Rattus norvegicus: one gene and its partners. The protein of the gene in region 3 interacts with the protein of the main gene of each other region in a pairwise test. Links are inferred from orthologs where the notes say so. Each region holds a gene or a part of one and is shown on either strand. Other genes may lie near its edges.

Region 1 (10,424 bases), on a different chromosome or scaffold from region 3:
GCTCTTGCCTAGCCCTGAGAGCTCTGCAGCCTCGCAAGATGGCTCGGTGAGTAAAGTTGCCCGCTGAGCAGGACCTGAGCTTGGTTTCTCCTCTGAGAGATTCTGCTCCTTCAGAATCCTCATAATTCCCAGAATCCTAAATTCCCAGCAACTGTATGGTGCCCCTCAATCATCTATAATGAGATCTGGTGCCGCCTTCTGGCCTATAGGCATACGTGCAGTCAAAATGCTGTATACATAATAAATAAAATAAGTCTTAAAAAATGCTGCATGGCTTCTTTATAAAAATGAGAGCAGGTAACTTAAATTGCCCAGTGTCCTAGATGCCAGATGATTGCTCAGTGGATGCTAAATGTTTGATTCAAATGGAAAAGTCTGCTTAAGTAGTCTGTATAAAGTAAACTGATTTTTAAATCTTAAGTAAATATATTAGTATTTTTGAGCATCCTTTCATATGTAGTTGTTTAACAAATCAGTCTCATTTCTACAAAAACTATATATGGGGAGTCTCTAAAAGCTGGCAGTTCTATGACAATGTCATAATAAAATAATTTCATATATGAAAAACATTTGCAGTTGGCCTGAGGACATAGCTCATTCAGGAGACTTGGGTTTATGTTTGTTTTTTTGTTTTTTTGTTTTTCTTTTTTTTTTTTTTTTTTTCGGAGCTGGGGACTGAACCCAGAGCCTTGCGCTTGCTAGGCAAGCGCTCTACCACTGAGCTAAATCCCCCAACCCCATGTTTGTTTTTTTGAGGCAAAGTATCACTCCCTCAATTTGGGTTCTATATCTTTCTATGCCTAGAGGATGGCCTTGAACTTCTGATCTTCCTAGTGCATCGATGTACCCAACTAAACAGATTCTTTTGAACAGATTCAGTGCCTGTATTTCTAGTACTCCAAGGGCTGAGGTGGAGGATTGAGTATAGTCTGGTCTTCATAGTATCAAGCCAGCCAGCCAGCCATGGGTATAGCATAAAACCATGCCATAAACCAAAACCAAAACCAAACAAACCCCTAACATAGAAAAAGTTGATACATTTTGCCTGGCATCTCTCAGTGTTATTGGCAAAATCAGCATGGAAGCAGTTCTTACTCCTTGAGGCTGTGTGCACTGTCGTGCTAAGTTAACTGCTGAGGCTTGGCCAACTGAGTGAGCTCATGCTTTCTACCTCACTGTAGAGTGGATGGCTGTCAGAGAGGGGCCCATCACCATATCTGACTCCTCTGATGAGGAAGGGATTCCAATGCTGGTTACCCCGGCTACTGAGCAACAGGAAGACGACCTGGATGATGATGTCATCCTGACAGAAGTGAGTGTTTTCAAACTGTCCATAATGAAAACAACCTGTTCCCATCTGCCTCTTGTGTCTTAGTGTTAACCCTCTCTGTGACCTGTGCCCTTTCTCCTTCTGTTACCACATTACTACTCTCACTTCTTTACAGTTAACCCATAGTATATATAGTGCGCCTTACTATAACAACTTAATTCCTTCATAGTTCTCAGGTGCCTCCACCCCGACTTATGCATTTTTATGAACTTGATGCTGACTTTTTGAAAATAGTTTGAGTTTTATTTCTTCATGGTTTTGAATATATGGAAAAAATTTAAAGTCTATTCTTTTTACTTCTGTAGATTTTCCAGTTTCCCTTTTTTTTTTTTTTTTTTTTTTTTTTTTTTTTTTTTCGGAGCTGGGGATCGAACTCAGGGCCTTGCGCTTCCTAGGCAAGCGCTCTACCACTGAGCTAAATCCCCAACCCCCCAGTTTCCCTTTCTATTTTGATTATTTTAGTCCCACTTTTTCTTTTTTTTCTTTCTTTTTTTTTTTTTTTCCTTCCTCTTCTTTTTAGACAGGGTCTCATATAGTTCAGCTGGCCTGGAACTTGTTATAGAAATGACAGACTCATCTCACTTCCGAGTGCTGGGGTTAGGAATGCATGGTACCATACTGGGATTTCTCCTGTTTATAAACTAACCATTGTTTTCCCTTCCTTTCTTTCTAATCATTTTTCTTAAGGTTTATTTTTATTTTTATGTGTTTGCGAGAACAAATGCCACATGTGTGCAAGTGCTCTTGGCCACAGAGGACATCAGGTGGCCTTACAGGCATCTATGAACTGCCTGATGTGGGTGCCGAGAACCAAACTCGTCTTTTGGAAGAGCATCAAGTGTTCTCTAACAACTGAGCCATTTTTCTAGTTCATTTTCTTGGTTTTACTCATTTTCTTCACCCAAGACACAACTCTGAAATGTACCTAGTGGTACTTGCATTTATTTTCTGTTTTGGTCTTTTGTAGTTCTGCTTTTTCATGTTTGACAGACTTCATTTCTTAAGTGGTTCCTTTACTGCTTTAGTTTTTTTTATTTTGTGTTTAGCCTCTTTTTTTTTTTTTTTCCTTTTTTTCAGGACAGGGTTTCTCACTAGATCAAGCTAACCTCTAACTCGCAGAGCTCTGCCTGCCTCTGCCTCCTGCATGCTTGGATTAAAGGCATGCACCCAGCTGCATGTTCCTGTTACCTCTCCTTATACCTTAGTGGCTTGAAGCACATTGTGCATGCTCTTAAATCACCTCATCAGTGGCTTACGGTTCAGTGTAATTGGGAATTTTGCAGATATCTTGTTTGTGTATACAACCAATGATGGTCTTTCGCATTGTACCTTTTGACTATCATGTAGTTGTGCTGTAAACATTCATGTAAAGTTTGCGTATGACTGTATGTATTCATTCTGTTTGTGTATGCCAAGAGGTAGAGTTGCTGCATCACTTAGAAACTGTTGTATCCTGCCAGTGGTTCTGCTACTTTACATTCTCACTGGCTTCTAGTTTTCTCTATGTTCTTGCCTATACACGCTCATGACCGCGTATGTTACGGTTGTGGACCAATGTGTGAGGGTTCATTCACTTACAGACACATGTGAAAATCTTGAGGGTTGCTGTCATTTTCTGTTGTTCTCCACCTGCTTTTTAAAGGCAGTGTCTGTCAGCGAACCTAGAACTTACCGTTTTGACTAGACTGGCAGGCCAGGAGGCCATTGCAATTTGCATTTTTCTGCCTCCTTGACATTGGGATCACACATATACTGTCCCTGTATTTTGTCTGTATGCTGGGCATTAAACTCAAGTCCTTGTGCTTTATGTATCACACTTTAACTGGTGAGCTGTCTTTCTAGCCTCTACTTTGGACATAATCAATTTTCAATACTAAAATAAATGTGAATGGTATTTATGATGCTGCAGACCTTTAGTCCCAGCACCTAGAAGGCAGAGGCAGATAAATCTCTGTGAGTTCAAGGCCAGCCAGGTGTACTCTGAGCCTCCCTACCTTTAAAAAAAAAAAAAATGGGATAGTTTTTTTCCCTTGAGATGCTTCTGGTTTTATTTGTTTTTTATCCTTTCATTACAAGCCCAGAACCAGGCATAGATACAGGAAGGACATTGAATTTTTATTATTAAAATTTCATTTTTTTCTTAGACACATAAACCTCAGACATCCCGGCCCAATCTCATCAAACCAGCTGCCGAGTGGCAAGATCTGAACAGATTGGGAGAAGAAAGGCCTAGAAAATCTAGAGCAGACTTTGAAGCAGATACCCACAGCTATTTTTCCTTTTGTAACAACTCATTGTTTGATTCTGGGGCACAGGATGATTCTGAGGATGAATGTGGTGGATTTCTGGATCTTAAGACTGAGAAAAAAGGAGGAGAAGCCAAACCTGGACCAAGCAATAAGCAGACAGCAGACAATACTGTCAGCCCCAGGCTGGAGCAGAAAGTCATTATTTTGGGAGAAAATGGTCTTCTTTTTTCAGAAAGTGAGCCTCTGGAAGTTCAGAACCAATTATCTGAAGACTCAGAGACAGATCTTTTATCAAATCCTGGTGAGCCAGCTGCCTCAGTAGATGAGCAGCTAATTGAAGAAGAGTACTGGCTTGACCATCCCTACTTCCAGGCTCTGAATCCACAGCCTCAGGAGAGAACAAACCAGCTTGTGCCCCAAGAGCGACATTCTGAATCAGAAATGGGCCCAATGTTTTTCCGCCATGATTTCCCGGAGCCAGCTTTTCCAAGGCCAGAACCCCAGCAGGAGGGGATTCCAGGACCCGCTTCTCCACAACCAGCCCATCCTCTAGGAGAGCTTGAAGACCAGCAATTAGCAATTGATGAAGACCCTGGGCCTGCCTACCCCCTGCCAGGACCCCAGGAGGCCAATTTGGCAAATGTGTGGGGACAAGAAGCTGCTGAAGGGGATCAAGAGCTCATTCCACTGTTAGTGAAAGAAACGGTAAGGTCATTTCTTTTTATTAAAGAATGCTATGCTACTAATACTGATACTATACATTTGTTTTCTGTCATTGCAGTAAAGAGATGCTTTGTTGTATAAGTAAGCTTTATTTTCCAAAGAAGGACATACCTAGGGTGAAAGAAAGGAACCCAGATAGCTAGACAGCCTACAACCCAGCCTGTGCCCTCTACCTCCAGGGAGGGCTCTTGGTGCTAGTTGTACCTAATGGAGCCTGATGCTGTCATTCTTGTAAACTCCTGTTTGTCAAGGCCTTATGTTCCTGTTTATTATATTTCCTAGCTCTGGGCCATCTAATACAGCAACCAGTAGCTCTTGTGAGTATTGTAAATCTCTGAGAGCTGAATAAAGTTACATTCTGTTTCCAGTGCATCAGTCATCTTAATAGTCGTGATTCTGTAGGATATCTGCAGTAGAGAGCAAAGCAGGCCTTTGTTTTCTGAGATCAGCTATTGCTTGCCTTCCCTAAGTCTCCTAATTTGTTAGGTCTTTTTATTTGACCCTGGGGGTAGGGGGTGAGTTTGAAGGCAGGTGTAGGGAATGTTCCTTTCTGATCTCTGGCCTGTATTCTCAGTGTTTGTTCGAAGGATGGAGAGTGGACAGGGTAGATGACCTCTAAAGGTCTTTGTAGGCCCCATCTGATCTGGGGACTAGGAGCTGAGATAGGAAGGTAGGTAGGTAGGTAAGAGATAGATAGATAGGTAGGTAGGTAGATAGATAGATAGACAGATATAAAATTTATTTTTAAGTTATGCACTATAGATATAAATTTTATTTTTAAGTTATGCACATTGGTGTTTTGCCTGTGTCTATGTGTGTGTGAAAGTGTCAGATCCCCTGGAACTAGAGTTATAGTTGTAAGCTCCCATGCGGATGTTGAGAATTGAACCTGGGTCCTCTGGAAGAGCAGCCAGTGAGTGCTCTTAACCTGAACCTCCTTTCCAGCCAGCCCCTATATACATTTTTTTTTCCCCCCTGGAGCTGGGGACCAAACCCAGGGCCTTGCGCTTGCTAGGCAAGCGCTCTACCACTGAGCTAAATCCCCAACCTCCCTATATACATTTTTAATGGTTGTTGTTGTTGCTAGTTTTTTTTGGGGGGGGTGTTTTTATTTTTTTTAAAGACAGTATTTTCTCTGTAACCTTGGCTGTCCTAGAACTCACTCTGTAGACCAGGCTGGCCTTGGATTCAGAGATCCACCTGCCTCTACCTCTCAAGTACTAGGATTATAGGCAGCTCTAGGGGCACAGGGCTGCTTTACAGCCATTCTCCGGTTTTAAGGCAATTTGTATACTTTCTGCTATTTGATTTTTATTATCTTCAAATCCATTCTAAGGAACAAAATATAAATATTTCTTTCTTTCTAGGAAGCAAGATTTCCAGACGTAGCAAATGGATATGTTGAAGAGATAATTCATTTGAAAAATTACTATGATTTGAATGTGTAAGTATTCTACCATGCTTGCTGCCAGCCCCCTCACCCCCCACCCCACCCCTAGTTTCATTGCCATAAAGAGACACCATGACCAAGGCAACTCCTATAAAGGAAAGCATTTAATTGGGGCTGCCTTACAGTTCCAGAGGTATGGGCCATTATTATCATGGCAGGAGGCAGACATGGTACTGGAGGAGCTGAAAATTCTACATCTTGATCCTCAGTCAGCAAGGAGAGACTATTACTGGGCATGGTTTGAGCATAGGCAACCTCAAAGCTCACCCACACTTCTCCAACAAGGCCACACCTCCTAATAGCGTCTCTCCCTATAGGCCAAGCATATATAAACACATGACTCTATGGGGGCCATCCCTATTCACACCACCATGCTCCCTCTTTCTCTTTTTTTTTTTTTTTTTAAAGATTTATTTATTTATTATATATAAGTACACTGTAGCTGTCTTCAGATACATCAGAAGAGGGCATCTGATCTCTTTACAGATGGTTGAGCCACCATGTGGTTGCTGGGAATTGAACTCATGACCTCTGGAAGAGCAGTCGGGTGCTCTTAACCGCTGAGCCATCTCTCCAGCCCCCCCTCTTTCTCTTTTTGTTGGTAAAGTATAGGTAACATTTTGGCTATTTTTGAACATATAGTTGAATGGTATTATTAAACACATTTCCCATTACTGTATAGCGCTCTCAACTGTTGATCTCCAGAACTGGTATCATCTTAAACTGAGGCTCTCCATTGAACACTTAACTTCCCCATCTCTTCCCAGCCTCAAAGCTCACTGTTCTTTTAGCCTCAGGGAATTTGATTAAGGATAAAACTCTTTTATACCCGAACAGACTGGGAAAGACAGGCCTTGGAGTAGACTTTGAAAAAATATTAGCAGCTACTTTTCATGCCTTTTTAATGATGTTTATTTTATTTATTTTTTGAGGCAAGGTTTTACTGTGTAGCCCTGGCTAACCTGGAATTGAGCTGCCTCTGCCTCCTGGGTGCTGGGATTTTAACAATGTATGCCACTATTTGCAGCTTCTCATTGTCTCCAACATATGATCCCCCCTTGTAGGTCCTCTTACTGGCATCTTGGTGAGAAGAGGACCCTAGAAAGGGACTTCTTTTCTCTGTTCTCTTCTTGCCATATCTGTTATACTGTTAAGAGACACACTACTGACGTTGGATAAGAAAGGAAATGGGTGAGAGATCTAAGGGAGCTGATTCTACAAATCTGCCATAGCAAGGAAAGGAGCAAAACACAGAGGAAAGCTTACTTCCCTATGAGCTCACACTTTCTGCTTTTGAGCCCCACCCAGGCCAGCCTCCGCACTGACTGCTGTGCTGGCCTTCTGTCCAGCCTTCTGACTTGGCTTGGTTACGAGTGAAGAGCCTGGATAGTTGACTTTGCTTGAGTCTTGACATTGGTGCGTCGTCATGGGTTAGCTTGTGCTATCTCATCTTAGCTTGAAGCATTTCAACAGTGATGTAGAGTAGAGGAAGCCTCAGGCTTGATACTAAGAGAGTCTGTCCTAGAAGACATGGTCTGCTGATCAGTCTTGGAGTTGGCTGATAAGCTGAGACTGACGCAGTACCCAGAAGCTTACTTTACCACAACAGGATGCAAAGGACACTGATGTTCTGGAGTTCATTTATTTGCTCAGTAATTGAACTTGATCGCAAATGTGTTTGATTGTGCACTTTCTCCTCTTTATATGTGCTCATAGTTTCCTTGAGGAGTGGCCACTTTCCTTCTCCACTCTTGTTCTGTGCAGTTTAGGTGGTACTCCTTGAAGTGTCATCCTCTGGAAGTTAAAGCTCAGAGGAGTCTGCATCTGTCAGTGTGCTCAGTGTTTTTGTTTTGTTTGAGTAGAGTCTTCCCGTGCAGCTTCAGTGGTTGGGAGTTAAGCCTCCTGAGTGCTGGGGTTATGTTTGTGCACCATCACTTCTAGCAAAATGAAATCAGAGGGCTGCTGTCCTGGTCTTTGTTATTTGCTAGTTTGTCATGGATACTATATCTTAACTCTTTTCCCCTAAGTTGAAACAATGTCAAGTTTGAGATTCTCCTGCTGCTTCGACCTCAAGTGTAGGGATTACAGGAATGTGCCAACCTGGTATATCTCCCCCCCACCCCCTCGGAGCTGAGGCCTTGCGCTTGCTACCACTGAGCTAAATCCCCAACCCCAACTTGGTACATCTTTGTTTATTTTGTTTTTTCTTATTTTTTTTTTTTCGGAGCTGGGGACTGAACCCAGGGCCTTGTGCTTGCTAGACAAGCGCTCTACCACTGAGCCAAATCCCCAACCCCCCAACTTGGTACATCTTAATTCCTTGATAATTTAGTTGTCCTGTGTCTCTGAGACATTTTCCCCTCAAGTATTTTGTGATTCAGTGGGCAAGTCTGGGCTTTGGAAAGTACTATGTAACATTGTGTGGGTTACTTTGCAGACTTTGTAATTTTCTCCTGGAAAATCCAGATTATCCAAAGAGAGAAGACCGAATCCTTATCCACCCCAGCAGTAGCCTGCTTGCCAGCCAGGATGATGTGAAGGCAAGTATTCCTGTGGCTTTGCCACTTGGATCTGTTCTGCTCTGTTGCTGCTTTCCGGGTCATCCTGCTGACAGCAAGAGGTGCTGTTAACACAGGGCTTTACAGGCAAGCAGGAAAAATAACATTTCATAATGTTTGCAGACTCCCTGAAGGCTCCTTTTTGAAATCTTTCCATTCCCATAAAGAATTAAGCAAATTCTTGTGCCTTTAATTCTGCAGAGCAAGTTAAGGGAAAAGAATTAGCCAGTATTATTTGTGTTGTTCTAATAGTTTGTTTTTCTTAATGCTTTATAATTGTGGATTTATATAAAAGTTGAATGCTTCACGTGAATTGTTGGTGTACTACTCTATTGTACTGCTGTCTGTTACTGCTGTTCCTTAGAATGTTTCCATCCTAAATTGCAAAAACAACCACTTCCCTGCAAATACTTCAGCATGCACGTAGCCATTCTTTTTTTAAGATTTATTATGTACAGGTGTTTTGCCTGCACATGTGCCTACATGCCAGAAGAGGACGCTAGATCTCACTTTTGATGGTTGTGAAGCCACCATGTGGTTGCTGGGAACTGCTCTCAACCTCTGAGCCTTCCCTCCAGCCCATAGATAGCCATTCTTAAAAGATTTGTGTTCAACCCATTTAGCCAAATCTCATATCAAGATGTCAAAAGTTTCAAAACTTTAATATTTAGTCAATAATTGTGATCTACCACTAATGTTGAGTGTGTTATGTGGTTAAAAAACCCCACCCCAGATGATTCTTTTTTTTTTTTTTTTTTTTTTTCTTTAGAGCTGAGGACTGAACCCAGGTCCTTGTGCTTGTTAGGCAAGCGCTCTACCAGTGAGCTAAATCCCCAACCACACCCCCCCCTCCCCATGATTCTTAATGTTTAATTTCTGCTGGCTTTGCACTGACCAAAACAACTGTCGCCAACACCCACCCCTGCCTCATTGCCTCAGCCTTCTAGTGCAGAATTAACAGATAATGTACTTTTTCTTCATTTTTGTTTTAGTCTGGTCACCCTACAAAGTAATTATGAGCCCAGGCAAGAGTCTTTTTTGTAATATGTACTGTTTTAAAGATTTGGTTGGTTGATTGGTTGCTTTGCTTTTTCTAACGGAGTTTCTCCGTGTAGCCCTGGCTGTCTTAGAACAAGGTCTGGAGACCAGGCTGGCCCAACTCAGATAGACCTACTTGCCTTTGTCTCCTGAGTGCTGGGATTAAAGATGTGTGCCGTCAGTGCCCATCTTATTTGTTATTCTTTGTTGGGTAGGGAATGAGTTTGTGTGCACCATGGTGTGCATGCTGGTCCGTGGGGACCAGAAGACAGCCTTGTAGTCTCTGAAACTGTGGTTTTAGGTAGCTGTGAGTTGCCGAAGGTGTGTTGTAGGAACCAAACCCGGCTTCTCTGGAAAAACAGCAAATGTTCTTCACTGTTGAGGCCTTAGAGCCAGCCTCTGTCATCCCCCTCGTCCTCCTCTTGGATGAGTGTGCTATCTCACCTCTAACTTTATGCTTTTTGTCTCATTTCAGTTGCCTAAGATAGACTTTTTTGACTATTCCAAATTGACTCCACTTGACCAGCGCTGCTTCATCCAAGCTGCTGACCTCTTGATGGCTGATTTCAAGATGCTCAGCAGCCAGGACATCAAGTGGGCCCTGCACGAGCTCAAAGGGCATTACGCAATCACCCGAAAGGTAGGCCGTGGGCTTCCTTTTGGGCTCGTTCTTTGATTGTCCTGAAGAGACGGGAGAGCTATAGATTACAGAGGTTGAGGTGGCTGTGGTGGCAGAAAGCTTCAGAGTTTGCCAGGGGAAGTAGGAGCTGGTTAGGAATCACTGAGTGAGAAGTGCCACCTAGAGCAGGAAACCTCAATCTCCAAAAGTCCCTTTGCGATGATATTTGTTCTGAGAAGAGCAGGGTGCCTGGAGTGTGACCCGTATCTGCCTGGTTCATAGTTTGTTCAGTTGTACCAAGCTCCAAGTTAAGGGCTTCTGGTTGGTTGGTAAGTCTTTTGTCTCTAGGTTCTCAGTGTCTCCTGCTTTCTTTTGTCTTGATCCTATAGGTTTCAAGAGTCCGGGTTTGTGTCATCTGTACCTCTAGGTGTTACTAGCTGGTTCCCGTGTCCTCAGC
Region 2 (10,424 bases), on a different chromosome or scaffold from region 3:
TAAAGGTTGGTGAGCTACCATACGGGTGCTGGGAATCAATCTCAGCAGCCAGTGTAACTCCTAAGCTACCTCTCCAATCCCCAGTTGGAATTTATTTTTAACTTAATGTAAATGGACATTTTGTTTGCATGCATTTCTGTGTACCCTGTGTGTGCCTGATACCCACTGAGGAAAAAGAAGGATAATGGATTCCAGCACTAGCAACCAGTGCTCTTAACCACAGAGCCACCTCTCCACCCAATAAGTATTTAAATCTAAATCTAGTAATTCAAAACTGGCAGTCTTCCTATTACAATCTTCCTTTAATACTTTAAAACTAAGTGACAGATGATTTGGGACTAACTATACAGATTACATAAGAATTAAGAAAATTCTTTATATGCTGCACTTAGCTTTGGGTTGCGTTTAATTTTAAATTTTCTGTGTATGGGTATTTTGACGGCACGTGTCTATCTTTGCACTGTAAGCAGGAGAGGGCCTTGGATCCCCAGGAACTGGAATTAGCAGATGGTGGGTTCTTCTGGAAAAGCAGCCAGCTCTAAACAGCTAAGTCATTTCTCCAGCCTCTGGGTTTAGGGTGATTCTTAACATAAATAGGAAAGAAGACTGAAACAAATATACAAACCAGCACTAGCATCAGATACAGCTCTTGAAATAGCACTGCTAGAGATTGCCCGATTTCTATTCATGATTTCTTCAAACTCAGCTTCACTCAGAGGTGTTCTTGCAGTATCCATTTCCCTACAAAAGACAAAGGAATGATATGTTGTTACTTAACAAAAGTTCTCAAGTTAATAATAATGTAAACACCTCCAAATAAGCAGCTTTTGGCATTTGCTTTAGAGAAGTTGTTACTTTTCCAGATGGAAAAAGCTGTCTTCCCTATCACATCAAATTCTCCTTTTCTAGCTGAATTTGTTGCAGTTTAGAAATCTGATCTTTCTACAGGACAAAAACTATATTTCTAAAATATAAAAGACTTCATAGTAATTTATCTTTTACCAACTAAAGAGTTTCAGTACTCCATGTTTAACTTACCTCCCAGGGGGACCATAGTCACCCCTATCATATGGTGGAGGTCGGCCATATGGGTCTGTTGGCGGTGGACCTCGACTATCTGATGTTGGCATGCCACTATTAGTTGGTGGAGGGAAAAAAGCAGGATTCACATGTGGAGCTGGTGGTGGGGCACCTGGAGGTGGTCCCGGAAGATGTGGAGGAGGAGCAAGTGTAAGGGGAGGCCCTAGTGGACCTGGTGGTCGAGGTGGAAAGGGGCCTGGAGGTGGAGGTGGTCCCTGCTGTGGAGGCGGTGGACCTGGAGGGGGGCCGTAGCCTGGAACTGGAGGTGGAGGCCCAGGAGGAAGTGGACCCAGCGGAGGCTGCCCAAAAGGTTGTCCAGGAAAAAGAACTGGTGGTGGAGGGCGGTCTCCTCGATTAGGAGGTCCTGCTAGAGGAGGTGGCAGAACCTGACCGGGAGGTGGAGGACCTGGGGGGCCAGGTGGGCCAGGTGGACCTAGAGGTGGACGTGGTGGAGTCTGTCCAGCTATAAAATAAAGGAGAGAAAAGGGGGGAAAAAATCACTTCAATAAAGATATTTAACCATTACATGTCAAGAATACATTTCTAAAAGCAGAATTTATAAACCATGACTCGCTCTTTGAATGAAACCCACAGGGTAATGCCCTAATAATTACAAAGATAAAGTTTAGTTTCCTTACAAATTTAACTAGTGCAAATTATGATTACAGAAAATCACTACACAGAGAACTTGGTAAGATTTTAACACTGAGTTTCCATCTCTCAGCGCACACTTCTCACAGGGAAGTCGCCCACTTTACACTCTACTCTGATGCCAAGCTACAAGGGAACAGGGAAAATGGTCTTGAAAGGATTTTTTAAGAAGTAAGAAAATAAGACGGATGTAAATATTCTATATATAAAGTCAAGCAAGTGTGGAGAAAAATAAAGACCTTTTAGGCCAAAAATGGGTATTTCCTCTATGCTGTGCCCCATATGCCATGGAATCCTAGTTTCCAGGAACAAAGGCCGAGTTCCTTTAACAAGATGCTTGATCAAATTTCCTGGGTTCCAAAAATAGCATAACAAGGAGAGTGAGTCACGTTAATAATGCATTACTTGAAAAAGAGAGAAAGGAAAAGAGGTATTAGGCAGACATGTTTTCTCCATGATAACTTAAAAAGTTTTACCTGGGAAAGGTGGAGGTGGCCCTCCTGGTCCTGCTGGCCCAGGAAATCTGTCCCCACCAGGAACAGCCCCTGGAAAACGGCCCCGTCCTCTACCACCTTGTGGAAATGCTGCGCGTGAACCGCCTCCTGGAGGACCAGCTTTACCTTCCCCAGACATTTGTCCTGATTGTGTAGCTGCAAACATCCAAATACTCATAAATAGCACTTATTAAAAGTGTCTGAGTTGTAACCACTGCTGTTAGAGACTATTTCAAAGTTCATTTATACTACTCATCAATTTCTAGATGCCTCAGACCTAAAGTACTTGGCAAGGAAAACATTCACATTTATTTAAATATTTTCCTAGTCTTAAAATATTCAAATTTAAATGTATTTCTACTGAGAGATAAACAAGTTGCTTTTAAAATACCAGTACTCTGCAATAGCCAAAACAGAAAATCTTCAAAAGAAATCTTAATTTCAATAACAGATTATTTTATGCCATGTAATATATTCTTCAGATAAATCTTATATTAAATGCCCCAAAAAACAAAACAACCACCTGAATTTCTACTAATAACAAGTGTCTTCTATATTTATTTTACCAAGCAGCAAAAGGTCTTGGTAGCAAGCAGAAAACCCAGTAACTACTTCATTAGCCTCTCCCCCACCAGAGCAGATAATACATGTAGAGGCTCCTCCTCTAAGGTTAGAACGAAGCTTCTGTTCTCCAGGATGAGAGTGGCAGGACAAGAATGTCAGCACCAGAGAGCTTTCAAACTGTTGCATACTGACTGGTCTATCTAGAAAAAACTGGAATGGGAGTGGGTTTCCAGTATATTGACCCATAGTCATAAGCAATGATTAAATCAAGTTCATGTAAAATTAAATAGTAACATGACTTCCTAAGTGTAATATTTAACAAATGACAGCAACACTGCTTAAATACATTTTTAAAAAGGCTGCTGAGAGATTTGCTTACTTTTCCTGGATTGCATTTCAAACTGACTCAGGAACTGTTTATTGCATGGAGTTACAACAGGATTCTGACCGTGAAGTTCTCTTTTAGGCAAAAGATCCATTAACTTTTTGGAAGATGCTTCAGATCCAACACCAACAAGGGCAAATCTAAAAGATGTTAAGGGGGCAAGAATAAAAAGCAAGGAGGAACTGAGAATGTTGCTGTTGATTAAAAAAAGAAACGGTCTTAATCTTTTTTGAAAACATTATGTACAGTGTCCAGCCTGCATGTATGCCTGTATGACAGAAGAGGGCGCCAGATCCCATTACAGATGGTTGGGAGCCACCATGTAGTTGTTGGGAACTGAATTCAGGACTTCTGGAAGAACAACCAGCTCTTAACCGCTGAGCCATCTCTCCAGCCCCTTAATTTACTTTTATGAGAAGAAAAAATAAACTATTTAAGGCTCCACAAACTTGGACTACTTTTTATAATATACTACAGAATCCACTCTCAATGTACACTCTAATAATTTTTAAAGTATATTCATGTGTTTTACAAACATCATGAAGGTTCATTTATAACATCATTACCCAAAACAAAGATATAGCCTCTACCAACATTCCTATTTACTCTTGTCTCTTAATCATACGGAGTAATGAATCTATTTTGTCTCTATAGATATGCCTCATAGAGTATGAAATTCTTTACAACCAGCTTCACTGAGCATTAAAGATCTAGTCATGTTATAGCATGCATCATTAATTCATTCCTTTTCATGGCTGAGTAATGTTCCATTATAGATATCAGTTTTGGTTTTGCTTTAAGCCCACCTATCAGGTAGCAGGCACTGGAGTTGTTGTCACTTTTTATTGCCACTAAAAGTTATTCAGGGGCTGGAGAGATTCCTCAGTAGTTAACAACACTGACTTCTTCCAGAACTTAAGTTCAATTCCCAGTAACCACATGGTGGCTTACAACCATTCATAACTCCAGTTTTAAGAGAGCCAATTCTCTCTTCCGGTCTGCATGGCTATGAGGCCAAACACCTGTACACATAAAATAACGAACTAATGCTCAGTATCACTGCCTGCCAAGGTACAAATCAAAACCATAGAGATGCAATTTCCCATTATAATCAAAATCACAGCTATTCAGTACTGGTAAGGTAATGAGAAACTACAACCCTTCTTTCTGCATGGTTGAATGTACAATCTGGCAGCTTTTCAAAAGTTAAACACACTTACCATATAACCTACTAACTCCACTCCTAGATATATGCCCAAAACAAGCAAAACTTTATGTTCACACAAAACAGTATACTATTAAGGCTGACCACATTAACAGCTAAAAGTAGAAACCACCCACACATTCCTCAGCAGATGGATATTCCTCATTAAGTGCTACCCTATTATATGAGATTATCATTCAGGTATAAAAAGGAATGCTGATGCTGTCACACAGAGGAACCTTGAAAACATGACACCAGGTCAAAGAAGTCAGACACATGGGATATTAATATTATTGTAATTATAAAATATCCAGTACAATTTATTTATAAGATACCCAGAATAGGCAAATTCTGAAGTAGACAGTACATGAATGCTTATCAGCAAAGGGTACAAGGGAGACTGGGGATTAATGCTAACAGACATAGGGTTTCTGTGGAGGTGTGGGGTTGGTAGGGTGATGAAATATTCTGAAATTAGAAGAATTACAATGGTTGCTTAACTTTGTAAATATATATTTGTAAGTACTGTATTGTACTCATACACATGCAAAATAAATTAATGTAAAAAGATCCAATTATGTGCTTACTGTATTATTTAAGAGGCACAAGTAGAAACAACAATACACAAAAATAAGAAAAGATGTATTTATCACAAGCATTTCTCCTGCTCTTTGCAATCAAACATGACTAAATATGAATTATAATACTATCTTTTAGAGGAAAGCATAGAAAACACATTCACTTTCTTACTTTTAGATACTTGCATTATACAATGCTCATATAATAATCTTAGAGAAATGGAACAAGATGCCTAGGTTGCACTATTCAGTTAGTCTCCATCACTTTTATTCTTAGGGTACTGGGATCAAACCCACACATCAGGCAAGTGGCTCCAACGCCAAGCTAAATACCCAGATCTTCGCTATCTTTTTTTCTTTTTGGGGGTGTATGGGGGTAGGGCTGTTGAGACAGGGTTTCTCTGTAGCTCTAGCTGTCTTGGAACTTGCTCTTCAGATCAGGCTGGCCTCCTGCCTGCCTCTGCCTCCCAAGTGCTGGGATTAAAGGTTTGTGCCACCACCATCTGACACTTCCTTATCACTTAAATCACAACAAAAATAATACTTCTTAGCCTAGTTGTTTCTATCTTAGGAACATATAGTATATAGAACGAACTCAGTATAGTCAGGAAACAGGCCTAGTCTGTCCAGTCCTATCTCAGGCAGCTTCTGTGTGTTTTTAAAAATCAGAAAATAGAAAATTCAAGTGAGAACCTCTGCCTAAGATCTTCCTCCTAGTGTGTTCATGTGGCTTCCTAGGAACTGAGACTGTCAGGTTTGTGCAGCAAGGACTTTTACTACCTAAGCCATCTGTCAGTGCAGAGATGTCATCCACATGTGTGTCATCAGCATTGAACTTAAGGCAAACTAACTTGTAGTCACTATCAGATTACATTAGGAAAAATTAAATTCTTACCCCTTTGATTGTCCATTTGCCCGATTTTCAAAAAATTTTATCTCCAAAATATCATTTACTCCCAAAGAATGAACTGCTTCAGTTAGGTCCTCATCTGTTGTCCACTGCAAGACATTTCCCCTTATTAGCCATTAAGACATATTCAGGTTTTATTACTGAATTTAACATTTAAAGGTAAACAAGTGATAAAGGAAATTTTTTTATTTTTGCAAATCTAAGTAGAGATACTGTATAGTACCTACCATACTACAGTAGGTAACTAATACCAATTTAATATCAAACATTTAACTCTTACCTAAGTCACTATTTTCATAAGATGCAACAGAGTCTGGGATAAACCCCTTACTCAAAGTCACGAAACATAAGCGTATACCAATTCCTTTTTTTACTTTTTTTGAGATAGGGTTTTGTGTAGCCATGGCTGTCCTGGAACTCACTGTGCAGACCAGGCTGTCCTGGAACTCAAGATCAGCCTCCCCAGGCATGGACCACCAAACCCAGCAAAAACACCATTTTTTGTTTTGTTTTTTTAAGACAGGATCTCACTATGTAATCTTGGACCTAACTGTGTAGACCGGGCTGGCCGTCAAACTCAGAGCTCCCCCTGCCTGTGTTTCCCCAGTGCTGAGATTAAAGGTGTGGACCACCAATTATTTAGCAGCTAAATCTCAAGTTACACTGCCATTACTCCAATTTTGTGAGGACTGTTCAGACTGGATGACAGGAGACTCAGTCAATGTGAGGGCCAGAGAGAAGGCCCCATGGAGGACCTCAAATTCAATTCCCAACATCCACAAAATGGCTCACAACCATGTAACTCCAGTCCCAGGAAATCTGATACCCTCTTCTGGCCCCTGAATGACTATATGCATGTGGTGCATCAGCATGCATACACAAATACCAATATACATAAAATAAAATCAAGACAATAAAACGATGTGAAGTTAAATATTTTCACATAAAATTCTATAAGCAGAGTAGAAGTCAACATGTTGCTATAACTTTTAACTTTCCAATATAATAGCTGAGATAAAGACATTTCTAGAACTGCTTTAGTGACTGTAGGGTCTGATGTTAACAGACAAGTGCTCATGAGGAATTTTACCAATAGTCTCAGAATCTTATCAACAACACAATTAAAATACAAAATATATCCAGGCAACAAATATTTTAAAGTGTCTAACAACTTCTAACTAATTTCAAATTAAAGTCAGAAATGAAACTTAAATTTATAATATGAATTAGAATAAGGAATATTTTTAAAACTATAGTGGCATTTTATCTTTCTTTGTCCCATAACCTTAAATTCCTAATTTGAGTTCCTGCGTGAACAATTTTCTTGGTGAAACTGGTAGGAACGTAAAAAGGGTGAGTGAACACAATTGCAAACTCAAGTAGAATATCCCCAAACCAGGCTACAAAATTCCAAATTATATTAACTTCAATGTCTTTTTAAAAGAAGTTGGTTTTGCCCTTCTCATCACTTGGGCAAACATGAAAAAAATTAATTTTTTTATATTGTAATGTCTATTTTTTTTAAAAGCTGGGCAAAACCATGTACTGCTAGATCAGTTCAAATGACTGCCAACAATCTGTGTTTACTTACCCATGTTAGATTTCCAATATACAATGCGATTCTCTTTCCAGTGTAAGTATAGACAACGTTTGGTGCTGCCCCTTTACCCACATCATCACCAACAGTTGGTGGAAGAGTATCCATGTAGTCCCGGTCTTCTGGGGCATCGCCATTATTTGCAGATGGAGAGATGACATCATCATACAAATCTATCTGATCATGCCCACCATATTCCGCTTCCTAAGATACAGAAATAACATTAGATTATATGAGTCAGAATAGTAAATAAATGTGAATACCGATTCATTCAACTTTCTTTTTTTTTTTTAAAGATTTATTTATTTATTATATATAAGTACACTGTAGCTGTCTTCAGATACACCAGAAGAGGGCATCAGATCTCCTTACAGATGGTTGTGAGCCACCATGTGGTTGCTGGGAATTGAACTCATGACCTCTGGAAGAGCAGTCGGGCGCTCTTAACCGCTGAGCCATCTCTCCAGCCCCTCATTCAACTTTCTTATTTTAAAAATCTCAGACAGGAAAAGGCCCAAAGATCTTAATACAAGTCTCTTCTTATTTTATATAATAGATGTGTTCTTGGTGACTTAACTAATACCTTCCTTGAAAATATTCTTAAAAATAACCACACATAAATGCAAATAGACAAGTTTCCAAAGAGTATTTGTCATAATACCATCTCACACACACACACAAAGGTATTATTATAAGTCTTTATTACGGACCACATGTGAGACACCAGTTTTTCTTTGGTATTCAGATCTTATTTATCTACTCTGAGAACACTAATGGGTTTTTTTTTCCTTTTCTTTTTTTCGGGAGCTGGGGACCGGGCCCAGGGCCTTGCGCTTGCTAGGCAAGTGCTCTACCACTGAGCTAAATCCCCAACCCCTACTAATGTTTTTATAAGCTAAGCCATAGGTGACTAAAATACACACACATAGAGATAGATATGATATATACATGTTTCAAAGTCTTAATTATCTAGTGAAATAAAAAAAATACATAAAGCTATTCAAATAATATCTTGCAATAATTGTATTACTCTCAGTAAACAAAGAGCTACTACTTACCTGACTTTTTTTTTTTTTCTTTTCTTTTTTTTCCGGAGCTGGGGACTGAACCCAGGGCCTTGCACTTGCTAGGCAAGCGCTCTACCACTGAGCAAAATCCCCAACCCCTTACCTGACTTTTAAAATCTAGCCAGGTACATTAGCAAATGAAAAGTATACACATAGGAGTTAGTACAACTGCCACTGTCACCAGCAGAATCAAAGCATTGCTAGGATGTCACTCACATGCCTAGCAGATAAGCCAGGAAGAGGAAAAGAACAAAGAAAGTGACCTGAGGAAGAAAAAAGTAATTCAATTTCTCAACATCCCTTTCCACGACCAAATTATCCTACCAATATCAATGTGAACTATTCTACCCTTCTGAAGGAAATCTGAGAGAGAAAAATGCAACTTAAGAGATATAGCTAGGGGTTGGGGGTTTAGCTCAGTGGTAGAGCGCTTGCCTAGCAAGTGCAAGGCCCTGGGTTCAGTCCCCAGCTCCGAAAAAAAGAAAAGAAAAAAAAAAAAAAGAGAGAGAGATAGCTAGTCATAACAATCTCTCATGTGTACAATGTACTAGGAACTGGCATATAAATGGCATACAAGAGCTAGTTTTAGAGAACATAATGATGACCAAGTAAAAATTTGCTATATGATCAAAAGATACTGTAGGCACCAAGAGTGCATGGCTATTGTTCCACTTTTCAACAAAAAGCCAAAAAAAAAAAGACTTAATTTTTAAAGAGAAAGGGAAGAAAAAAACCTAGAAAACAATATTCACAAAGCAATAGAGACCTCAATTTTCCACTGTTTTTTGTTAGATAACCATTAATAATGAACTATGTAACTTTCTAAATTTAATATTACATATTTACTTATCACAAAGCAGGATGTCTGTAACTCTTAAGACTTACAAGTTAATAAGAGCTAACACGTTAAATAATTCTGTAAGTTAATGAGACTTAAGTTATCAAGGTAAATCAAAGAAAAGCCACCTTCAGCAAAAGGCAGAAATTAAGATAAGTCACTGAATGATGCCATTGATTTTAATGCACAACAATGCTAAAATACCACCTCAGTGATGAGTTTTTATCACACAAAGGAGCTACTCAAACTGCATTGACAGTAAAACTCAGAAAAAAGGAGGGTAAGCTCTGTGATGTTAGCTGAACCTTTTCTGGTTATGTGGCTACAACAGTAGCTCCATATTCTTAAAAAATATAAGAAACGTTGTAGTTGGGCACTTGTACAATCATGGTTCTGAACATCAAGTAAAATTATTATAATTATTCACAGGCAGTTGTGAATAATTACCACACAGGCAGCAGCGACTAATTACAAATTACAGTCTGAGGGAGAGTAAAAAAGAAACCAAGACTAAAAGTTTTTAAATTTCTACTTTCAGGAAAAGATTAAGATATAATTTTTCATTAGTTATAAATAAGTGAAAATGTTTATATAAGTAGACCATCATTTATAAGCCACAATTGAAGCTACACTAACCTGGGCGTTACAATTGCTATTTTTTTATGCCCACGACTTCCTACAGTGACACCAAACATATTTTCCACATTCATGAGGAAGACCATAATCAGCCATTTTGTCTGGTTGTTGGATTGCTTCCAAGTGGTTAAAGTGATGCTAATTGAGACCATGGTCCTGGGGTTTGATCTCCACATGGACTAGTTAGCTGTGTTCTAAGACCTCAAACAGTATTCTTAACCCCAAGGGTATACATTGGACGTGGTGAAAAAAAAATTAATGAATCTGATACAAATATTGCCATTGCTAAGAAAGCACCTCAAAGGATACTTAAAAGTATCCGTATTCTTCCCTTTTTAGATTATTTTTTTAAAAATCTAGAATACATTCAAGTGTAACTACTTCAAGTAGAAAATGTATATACTCTGAAATTAAGCAAAA
Region 3 (10,424 bases):
GGATGTTCCCATAGGTGTTATGTCACAGTGATGCCAAGTCTGACACACCGAAGGAAGACAGACGGTATTCAATTCTGCAGAACAGAACTCAGACAGCCACATGTTTCCTGCTGACAGTCCCCAAGTCTGCAAAACCCTAAGATGTAAGCGAGGTGATCAGTCCTTGGATTGGGTTTCATCACATGGCACAGCTAAATGTAGAAAAAGCAAATGGGTTTTTGGGCCTGGCACTTAGAACCCTTACAAAGGGTATCACTCTTTCCAACAAGGGGGTTCAACCACTAAAATCTCTGCTTCCTTGGCAAAGATGAAAAGCCATGCAAACTGCCTTCAGGAACTAAAGGTTGACCATAGTGACAGAATCCTGTCAACTGTCTGCAAGAATCCAGAAGCACATTCTTCTCACAACCTCAGCTGAGCCTTCTGTCCTCACAAGCCTTAGAACTACGCTCAGAAAGCAGTTCTGTGGCAACCAAAGGAGGCAACAGGAACCCAACATCCAACACAAAGACAATCAGAGAGCTGGCTGCACGGTGGGTAGCAACTCAAACAATCCACATAGGCTAGAAGCCTCTGAGGGCCTTAGGCACACAAGACAAAGCTCAACCACTAAGCTACATCCCAAGGCTCAAGAGGAAAAAGAAATCCTAATACTCTATACTTCTCACAGAAATGAGTGCTTCGATGACAACAGTAAGTAAATAGGACTGGCTTTGCCCAGCATTCACTGTCACACAAGAAGAGCCTAGGAGTGGAGCTGTGTCCTTATCACTAAGAGGCACATCTAACGCTGCCATTCCAGAAAGAGCAATGAATGCAGAGTACCTAGAGAGCAGGAAGAGAATTACTGAGGATAACAGCTGAAGGAATTAGAGGTGGGCTGGGGTGCCAGTGGCATGCATAAGGCAGCCAGAATATGTCCCCAACACTGACAAATTGAGTGACTTCCTTCAGGAAACCTGAGTCAATTATTATTAGATTTGTAGTATTCTTTGACTCTTAATAACTGCATTATTTTGACTTAGAATTTTAAGTAATGCCATGATTTTTAACTTTGCAGTTATGTACTGTGTCAAGGCAACTCTAGCAAGCTTCTAGCTTACTTATTTTTTTTTTTTTTTTGGTTCTTTTTTTCGGAGCTGGGGACCGAACCCAGGGCCTTGCGCTTCCTAGGTAAGCGCTCTACCACTGAGATAAATCCCCAGCCCCTTCTAGCTTACTTATTAATGAGTATTCTTAATGTATACCCACTTGCCAGAAGAGGGCACTGAATCCCCTTAACATGAACCACCATGTTACTGGGAATTGAACTCAGGACCTTTGGAAGAGCAGCCAGTACTCTTACCCACTGAGCCATCTCATCAGCCCCAGAACTATGTTCTTAATAGTTACAGGGACTTCAAGTTGAACATCCAGTTAGAGCTGTAATCCGAGCTCTGCTATCTATCAGTTAGGAAAGCAGGGAGAGGCCCAGGATCTGTCTGGTGAAGATGGATGGGGCAGCCTGCCCATGTGCTGCTGACTGTACCCACACCCACACCCACCCATCGCCATGGCCAGGTGGCCAAAGATAAGGAGGGTGAGAAGGCCTGGCACTCTCCTACATCCTTGGCCCCAGTAGAGATCCCAAAATAACTCGTGTGCTATCAGGTCACAGGTCCACCCAAGAGCTGGTGTGATCCTTCCCTAAGACTAACGCTCACTCCCTGGCATTTGAACGCACGTATAAAAAACTCCAGAGCCCTGAGACAGTTAAACACAGGTGACTGCCCTTAGCAGAGCACGTCCTAGGGTTAGAGCGATGGCTCAGCACTGAAGAGTGCTTGCAGGGTTGGGGATTTAGCTCAGTGGTAGAGCGCTTGCCTAGCATGCGCAAGGCCCTGAGTTCGGTCCCCAGCTCCGAAAAAAAAAAGAAAAAGAAAAAGAGTGCTTGCTACTCTTCCACGGGACCTACACTCAGCTCCTAGCACCCACTTCAGGAGGCTCACACCCATCTATAACTCTAGCTCCTGGGGATCAGAAAGCCTCTTCTGGCCTCTGCAGGCACAGACTCACAGAAATACACAAATAAAAAAATAATATTATAAACAATTTCCCCACTAGGCACAGGCATGTGGTCTGCTGTTAGAGTAGACAGGCTACTGACAGGATACATCTTGCACTGCATTAGAGAATTTTGCTGAAGGATGTGCTCTGGGGCAAAAGAGACAAAGGGGTAGTTTTCCTAAGGCCCCTAGAGAAGAGAAGGTGCAAGCCACAGATCATCCTCTAACATAGGCCTCAGGACATAGAACTCAGCATAACTACAAGGAAATACACAGGCCCAACCAGCTGCTTGTCACCTCTCTGCATGCCAGCTCCTTGTGTGCAAGAGCCACACTAGCAGCAGTGCGGAGGTAGCACCTTCGAGAACCGTGTCGTCACTCTCTTCTGCCTCCAGACCAGTGGCAGCTCTTCTGTTGCTGTTTAGCAATCACAAACACACTCAGGGAACAGGCTCAGCCATGATGAAAGGCTCCTTACAGCACACATACTGTGGAGGGGCTATACACTCCCAGAAAATAACTCAAGGACTTCTCTGAAGTCTGACACATAAGAGACACCTAGCAGTGAAGAGCCCTAGTTCCGAATGTTGAAACTTACCTTTTCTTCTGCTGAGACATCAGCCATCTTAGGGATTGGGGAAGGAGCACGCTTCTTTATCAATAACAAGACGTCTAGAAAAAAGTAAATTACACTGATGAAGTAAGTTACTGTCCCACAGCCAAAAATGACATAAAAGGTACTAGATGGGCATTAAGGAGATGGCTCCGTGTTTTCAGGCTTGCTATGCAAGAGTTCAGATCCTCAGAACCACGTAAATGACAGATGGGCAGGCAGCCTGCCCGGAGTTGTACTACCTGGAGGCAGAGACTGGGAATCCCTAGCCAGGATGGCTGTATAGACAAGCTCTAGGTTCAGCAAGACTCTGCCTCAATGAGTTAAGAGATGTCAACCCAGACTTCCACACGCATGTTTACACATGCATACATATCTGTGTGTTCACACACACACACAAACCACATATGCACCTGACACACAAGAATAGTGCTTAATGCTTGAAGTTAGAAAGCAGGATCCTGGGTCCCTCCTAAGCCAAGCCAGCATCCCCTCCTCAGCTTTGAAGTGGTCACTAGGTCACTATAGATGACCTGAGGCTTCAGAGGTAGGCACGGCACATCCCTGATAACCACACAGAGCACTAGTGGACATCTTGCATAATGTCTTTATTTTCAAGGGCTCTTCTAAAGCATGAGCAACCTACAGCCAGTTCACCATGGTGGGGGAGGGGACGTGGGGTTACCTCCCCCTCCATTTTGAGTTTGGTCATAGCTCATCATAAGTCCTTATTTGAAAACAAGTTTTGTCCCAGAGCCAAGCATAAATAAAAAGTGGGTGTGCAGAACAAAAGCACTCGGACCCTCAAACAGCTGGCCACAGTACTAGCCTGTGAGGAGTACTTCCAGCACAAAAATAAAGCCACAGAAAGGAGCTCCAGAATCTGGCTTTGCTTTAAAACAGGACTAAACTTAACACTTGAGTTTGGCTTCTCAGATGTCTGCCAGTTGTCCGGTTTAGGTTTCTGCTGTTTTTCACAAGTACAACCAAACACGCACTACTTTTTTTTTTTTTTTTTTCCGGAGCTGGGGACCGAACTCAGGGCCTTGTGCTTGCTAGGCAAGCGCTCTACCACTGAGCTAAATCCCCAGCACACGCACTACTTTTAATTAAAAACAAAACAACAAAAAAAGGAGTCAATCTGGTTCTCCTGCTCTTGTCTAAATTCGGAAAAGTGCCTTGTGGGTGACCCTGGGATACAGGCTCCATGCTCCGTGGACTCCGCCTCATGGCCTCCTTACCTTGGTCCTGGATGTTTTCTTCCAAGATCGTTTTGCTGTCACTCAGCACCCTCTCTGAAGCAGCATGTATTAACTTATGGTGAGTCACATTCTTGGGGTCTTCTAGGCTCCCATGAGCACCCTGGGGGAAGAATTAAGCCACAAATCTCTAAATTGGAAGTAAATTATGATACATCTCAAGCCACCCATGGAATTACTGAGGTTTCTTGTCGTTTTTGTCTCTGTGTCCTGGATATGTGTGTTTTCATGTGTGTAGGAATATGTGTTTTCATGTGGGTAGGTATATGTGTTTCCACAAGCATATGGCAGCCAGAGGCTAATGTTGGGCGGTCTTCCTCAACTACCCACTTTATTTATGAGGCAGTATCTCTCATTGAACCTGACTTATCAATGCAACTGTGCTGACTGGCCAACAAGCTCGTCCTCCCCCTACCTTAATGCTAGGGTTACAGAAATGCTGCTGCCACTGGCTTTTACACAGGTACTGGGATCCGAACCCAAGTCCTCATGCTTGTATAGCAGCCATGTTACCAACTGCGCCATCACCCAACCCATGGAATTACTGCATTTTCATACCAGTCAAGACATTAAAGCATTAACGACAGTAAAGAGTCCCACACACAATCCCTCCACACTTTCAAGCCTATTTCCAGCCCACAGTAGACTCCTGGGATGGCTAAGAGCTTGGGAACACAGATCCCACTGATAAGAACTTGCAACCCGGGGTTGGGGATTTAGCTCAGTGGTAGAGCGCTTGCCTAGGAAGCGCAAGGCCCTGGGTTCGGTCCCCAGCTCCGAAAAAAGAACCAAAAAAAAAAAAAAAAAAAAAAAAAAAAGAACTTGCAACCCAAATCACTTCAGTTTGGAAAGATCTGGAGAATGACTTTTAGATGAATATATGCCTGTTGTTTCCTGAGGATCTGAAGCTCTAGCTGCTTTATGCTTTGTTTTTCCTTCTTTAGCAGACACACAAAAGGCAGAAGAACTGCACAGAAAGACCACCACTTTCCAGGAGCAAGGAGGCGACACCTGCCCACTGACTACCAAAAAGTCCTCAGCAGGTCACAGGGTACAACTGGCCTCAGCTAGCCTTGGGCCCAAGCAACACTCCAGGAGACCAGGGAGCACACGGCAGTGCTTATGTCTTCAGGGCCCTAGACCCTAGTGACAGCATCAGCAGAGGAGGTGGGAAGCAAACCACCGGTGCTCTGAAGGGACCCAGCAGGTGATCTCACAGGCATCTGCCTCATGACAAATGACTTCACATACTGAGTGGAGGCTGTGCAGTCCCTTCAATCCTCCACCAGACTGTAGACAGAGGCGTGGCAAACGTAGTTTATAATCTCAGCAGGCTCCAGCACTCACCCACACAGAATGCAAACACACTGTCCCCAATGAGAGTCCCACAAAGACCAAGAACACACTGCTGGTACCACATAGCACAAATGGGGGCTCACTGTGCCTGTGTGTCTGTCACCAGGTGTACTCACCCGAGTTTGTAGACGTTTCTACAAGTCCATCACTGCCCAGCATCACATGACTTTCTCAGGTCCACATACTACACATGATACCAAGTCAGTTTCAGCCCTCTCCAGACTCAGAACAAGGCCAAGGGCTATAAGTATTTCTTGCCACTATGGGTCCCTGGTGTTAGATTGAGAATGGAAGAAGTCCAGGAAACCCAGTCAGAGGACTCACTAGTGCTTTCTAAAACCTGAAAGGGGCTGACACACAGGCTTGGAGGAGGAGGAAGCTTTGGCCTGTCTCAGAATGGGCCACCTTGCACATTCAGGACACAGGGTTCTTCAGGCCTTCCCTGGTGTTCTGGAAGGCATCTCGGGTACCATGATGCATACATTCAACAAAGGGCCTCCGTATATATGGCTGCTAACCAGAAGAGAAGGAAAAACTGAAGCATGCATTTCCCTCTAGACCCTGTAATCTCAGTCTCAGACTGGGACCAGTTTTAAAAAGTGGACCATCATACACAGACAAAGGTTACTACGGGCTTATGAGATAAATCCACCCCACAACAACTGACTTCTTCACCATTGTGACTAAGCAGAGAACATGACTTTCCTTGAACCTGAAAATGGATCTTAAATTTGTTTGAATTAAGAAACACCTACGGCATTGATAAGGCACACTGCTGGATGCCTATGAGAGCTTTCCATAGAGAATTAAATGAGGGGAAGAAAACCAAGCCTGAATGTTGTAGCCCCATCCCAAGGGCTGGAGTTCCAGAGGAGTCGGCCAACCAAGCGCCAGCACTGCCCTTTCTGCTTCCTGATCCAAAGACGTGAGCAAGCGGCCTCAGACTCCCAACGACACAGCCGCCTGCCACTACACCCCACGGCCCACTACCACATAAAGAACCATATTCAAACCATGAGCCAAAATAAACACCCCTAAACAGTGGAACACCCATTCTGCTTCCAAAAATATTAAGTGGGATGCTTTGAAATTCTAAAATCCCTGGCTAATCCTAGCATATTTGTCAAGTTCAGAATACAGTCTGAAATGCAATTAAAAAATAGTATCTGTACTCTGAGGCATGCCAGCAGCACATGAGGAACAAGACATGTCATAGGTTGTCACACCACACACCACCACAACCCTATGCTTGCACGCACATATCCTGTAGGTGACTGTCGTTAGCTTCTGCTCATATCTGCTAGTGTATAGCATGGAAAGACGACAGGGCATGAATCTCCACAGGACCTGGGACAGTTCAGGCTTTGGAAGAGAAGTCCTGTGCTTCCTCCAGATGCTTGATACCACAGAAAAGTTCCTCCACACTGCAGCTCCATCATACCATCCCACTACTAACCCTCGTCAGAAAGGAGGGCTTACTGTGCCCCCTTCCCAGACATAGGCAGTGGAAGCTGGGGAATATCACTGTGAAGTCACTTTGGATAAAACAAAAAAAAGGGAAGGCAAAAACAAGTCTATTTCCTTAAGAATTTTAATAACAAGCTGTACTGTATCAAGGAGTCCTGTGGGAGAAAAATTTTAAAAAACTCTATCAAACCCCTCAGGAAGAGAGGAAAGAAAGAAGGAAAAAATAATAGTAATAACAACCCCAGTAACCTGTGTGCACAGGAGAATAAAGAGAAAGGAAGTCAAGTCAAGACAGCAACATCTTATGCAGGACAGGTTTCCAGGTACACAGTCAGGTACAACAAGAAAGTCCTCTTTTCTAATAAATGCATTGTAACTCCTAGAGCTGCTGGGACCTGGAGGTGGGTCAATTCTGATGCCTCTGCTCTCTAGTCCTGTAATTTTACAACAGCTCATGTGCTGTGAAATTCTCCTGCTGCTTCAGCCCTCATACCTGGAGAATGTGGAGTAGAATAAAGTCTCAATTTAAACAATAATGACAAAAATGGTCAAAATGATACAACTCCACATGTCAACTAGAATATTAAGTATCACAAATTAGCATCATATCAAAACCTTCTGCCTAACCCCATTGCTCCTAAAATCTATTAATAAGCATCTATGAATCGAATCGTCTCCTCACTCCCTTCATAAAATAGTGTCATGCTGATTATGTAAGTCTACACCATGAGTGAGTTAGACAAGACACCACAGCAGTGAAGGTGACATCCCATGCTGACGTGGTTTGAGGCTAACAACACATTTCATTCCCTCAATCCGTACACGGGCTTCAAGGTATTCCAAGCTCAGCCCTGAGGAACTAGACCTAGGGGATGACACAGCATAGTACTAGACCAGCGAGGATGCTAGGAACAGTCTGGATGCCCAAGGAGTCCCCAACCTTTAAGCTTGTGCTGAGCCTCTGGGCACAAGCTTAAAGGTTGAGGACTCCTTGGGCAATCTAAATACATTTGTTCACCCTAGGGCCTCACTGAGGTGAACCACAGACACCAAGACCCATGGTTACTCAACATCTAATGCACTGTAGATCTCTTGGAGCCTACCTGACATCATTACACACTGACTACAGGAAGGAGGCACACGGATGTTAAACTAGCCTTTGCAAGCAGCTGCTACAGTAACTCAAAGATCATCTTTAGAGGGAAACACAATGCTGAACTTTAATGCGACCTACCACTGTAGAGTTCTAACTTTCCCAAGAGTCCCCTTTAAAAAGCAGGGGACTTTCAACATAAATTCTGGCACTAATCATGTCTGGTATAATGCTTCCTAGACCACCAGTGTTTAACAGGTATCTGTCTCACCTTTAACTGAGAGCAGTTAGAGCCAGGAAGGCTTCAAGAACTAATCCCAAGACTTTACTATCTAAAACTAAAAGGCTAACTATAGTACAAAGCTCACTGAATGTAAGTAAACTTAAATGCCACTTGCTGGCAAGGAGACGGTTGTCCTGGACCTTCCCACTCAATCAACTGTTGCCCTAGCAGAAGGTAGAAGCCTAGGGACTTGTCCCACAGTGGCACTATTTTAAGTGACTACAGCTAAGTGCCAAATCCAGGCTCCTAGCAGCTGGCTCTTCAGGCAAGAAGCTGTCCCTCTTATAATGGGATCTAGTTACTTCCAGCTTCTGGAGAAAACTAAAACCTTATCCCAACAGCGGGCAAGCCCAAGACAAGAAAACCATAAGCCCTTGCTTTTGCCTCTCCCGGTCTCCGTTCAACTCTCGCCTTCACCTCCGTAGCACGTTGCAGAAATTAAATAAAGCTAGCCCAACAGTTGGGTCAGATGCTCTTCTCTGAGCCGCTAGGTTTGTGATTCGAGGTGTTAGAGAAAAGGAGCGGGAGGCGCTGCCCCTGCCCAGAGAAGCGAAGGCTGGGAACAGCAGGCTGCATCCTCTAGGTAGAGAGAGGAGTGTCCGGGCAGATGGGAGTCTGGGGGGCTGGGGCGGAGTCTGGGACAGAAGTCTACGTTTCTGGTTTCCAGAACAGAGGCAGAGGTGGAACTGGGTCGTAAGGAGCTCGGCCTTACATGTTTGAGGCAACTCTCCTTGAGCTTCTCCACCGATGTGTCCTCGGTCGCCTCCTCCAGCCACTCGGAGCCGTCGGCTGCGCAGATGTGCAGCCGAAGCACCTTGCCCGCAAAGATCTTCTCCTCCTGCACGAACATCGCGCCGCCGCCCGGGCCTGCACCCGCCGCCCGAACCCGTGAAGGTCACTGGGGCTGGCGGGAGGACCAGGGGCGGGGCCGGGCCGCCGCGCGCTCCTTCGCTGGCCGCCGCCGCCCCGCCCCGGCTCCTGTCAGCTTGGCCGCCCGTCACTGAAGGGGCAGGAGCTGTACCCTCGCTGCCACTGCCCGCGTCGCCGTAGCTGCCGGGAGCGCGCTGTCGCAGCCGCGCCGGAAATGCGTAATGAGCGCCCGTGGGTATGCCGGGAAATGTGGTTTCTTTGGTAGGTGTTCCGCTGTTGCCCCCACTGCGCCGGAAATAGGTGAAGTATACCGATGCACGCCGGGAGTTGTGGTTCACAGGCAGACTCACCGCCCGCTTACCTAAACTAATGTGTGAGGCGGGTCAGATGTCTACCGGGAGTTGTAGTTCCTCGTTCCTTCAGCACTGCCCAGCCTTATTACCTGATTTGCTGGTCTGTTCGAATAGATCTCAGAGTTGTCAGGGAAAAGTATAAAACATCTGGGTCGGGGTTAGGGATTTTGCTCAGTGGTAGAGCGCTAGGCCCTGGGTTCGGTCCTCAGCTCCGAAAAAAAAAAAAAGATATGACTTCTAATGCATATGTCCAGTCTATATGAGATGTAACAAAATCAGCAGAACCTGAGTATCAGCGAAGGCAAAACCATGAATTTAGGTAACTCTGAAGTGAGTAGGCTTGATTGGCCTGCGGCATTCTAGAGACATCTGACTTAAAATACAATAATTGGAAGATCCGGAAGAAAAATAAAGTAATAACCCTGTGTACCAGAAGACGGAATTCATACCAAATTGCTGAGGAGTATTTTGAGATAGATGTCAGCTCCATTCCAAGGATATTGTTTAGGGGATGGGGATTTAGCTCAGTGGTAGAGCGCTTGCCTAGCAAGCGGAAGGCCCTGGGTTCAGTCCCTAGCTCCGAAAAAAAGAAAAAAAAAAAAAAAACCATCTGGGTCAGGGCACTAGAAATTTGTCACAGTTGTGCTTGTCTATCATGCACATAGCCCTGGGTTTGATCTCAGTGCAGCATAAAGCTGGCACAGGTTTATAATCCTACACCTAGACACAACCAGAGAATCAGGCAGGTCATCCTTAACTACATAATGAGTTCAGGACCACCCTGGAATACAAGCCTGCATAAAACTCACACAAAGTTCGAATCCTGGTTTGGTTCTCAGACCTCACATGGTGGCTCAGAACCAGGCACTCTGGTAATGTTAACACATATATGTAAGCAAAATACTCACCGAATAAATGTTTTTTAATTTAAAAAAAAAAAGCAATTATCAGTGATCCAGGAATGGTGTTGTGGAAGTAGGAGGAACAGGAGGCCAAGTTCATAGTTATTTTTGACAAGTTCTAGGAGATCTTGCCACAGATCTGAGTCTTGGCAGATGGTATAGAACTAAGCCATAAAGGTTTTG

Evidence for each region.
Region 1: the proteins of Ubac1 (region 3) and Rnf216 interact in binary tests that used the Homo sapiens proteins (3 or more experiments, as listed by UniProt). The link is inferred for Rattus norvegicus from reciprocal best matches to the Homo sapiens genes UBAC1 and RNF216.
Region 2: the proteins of Ubac1 (region 3) and Cpsf6 interact in a two-hybrid assay, tested with the Homo sapiens proteins (2 studies listed by BioGRID and IntAct). The link is inferred for Rattus norvegicus from reciprocal best matches to the Homo sapiens genes UBAC1 and CPSF6.

What each region holds. Positions count from the first base shown.
Region 1 is NC_086030.1:16,582,983-16,593,406, forward strand, and holds part of Rnf216 (E3 ubiquitin-protein ligase RNF216), read left to right. Parts: intron 1-1,181; coding exon 1,182-1,312; intron 1,313-3,474; coding exon 3,475-4,284; intron 4,285-5,669; coding exon 5,670-5,746; intron 5,747-8,189; coding exon 8,190-8,292; intron 8,293-9,823; coding exon 9,824-9,988; intron 9,989-10,424.
Region 2 is NC_086025.1:54,857,959-54,868,382, forward strand, and holds part of Cpsf6 (cleavage and polyadenylation specificity factor subunit 6), read right to left. Parts: intron 7,668-10,424; coding exon 7,458-7,667; intron 5,956-7,457; coding exon 5,852-5,955; intron 3,315-5,851; coding exon 3,169-3,314; intron 2,382-3,168; coding exon 2,208-2,381; intron 2,082-2,207; coding exon of another isoform or gene 1,971-2,081; intron 1,544-1,970; coding exon 1,039-1,543; intron 742-1,038; coding exon 626-741; intron 1-625. UniProt on the Homo sapiens protein: Component of the cleavage factor Im (CFIm) complex that functions as an activator of the pre-mRNA 3'-end cleavage and polyadenylation processing required for the maturation of pre-mRNA into functional mRNAs.
Region 3 is NC_086021.1:29,237,028-29,247,451, forward strand, and holds the start of Ubac1 (ubiquitin-associated domain-containing protein 1), read right to left. Parts: upstream 9,135-10,424; 5' UTR 8,967-9,134; coding exon 8,829-8,966; intron 4,021-8,828; coding exon 3,900-4,020; intron 2,718-3,899; coding exon 2,644-2,717; intron 1-2,643.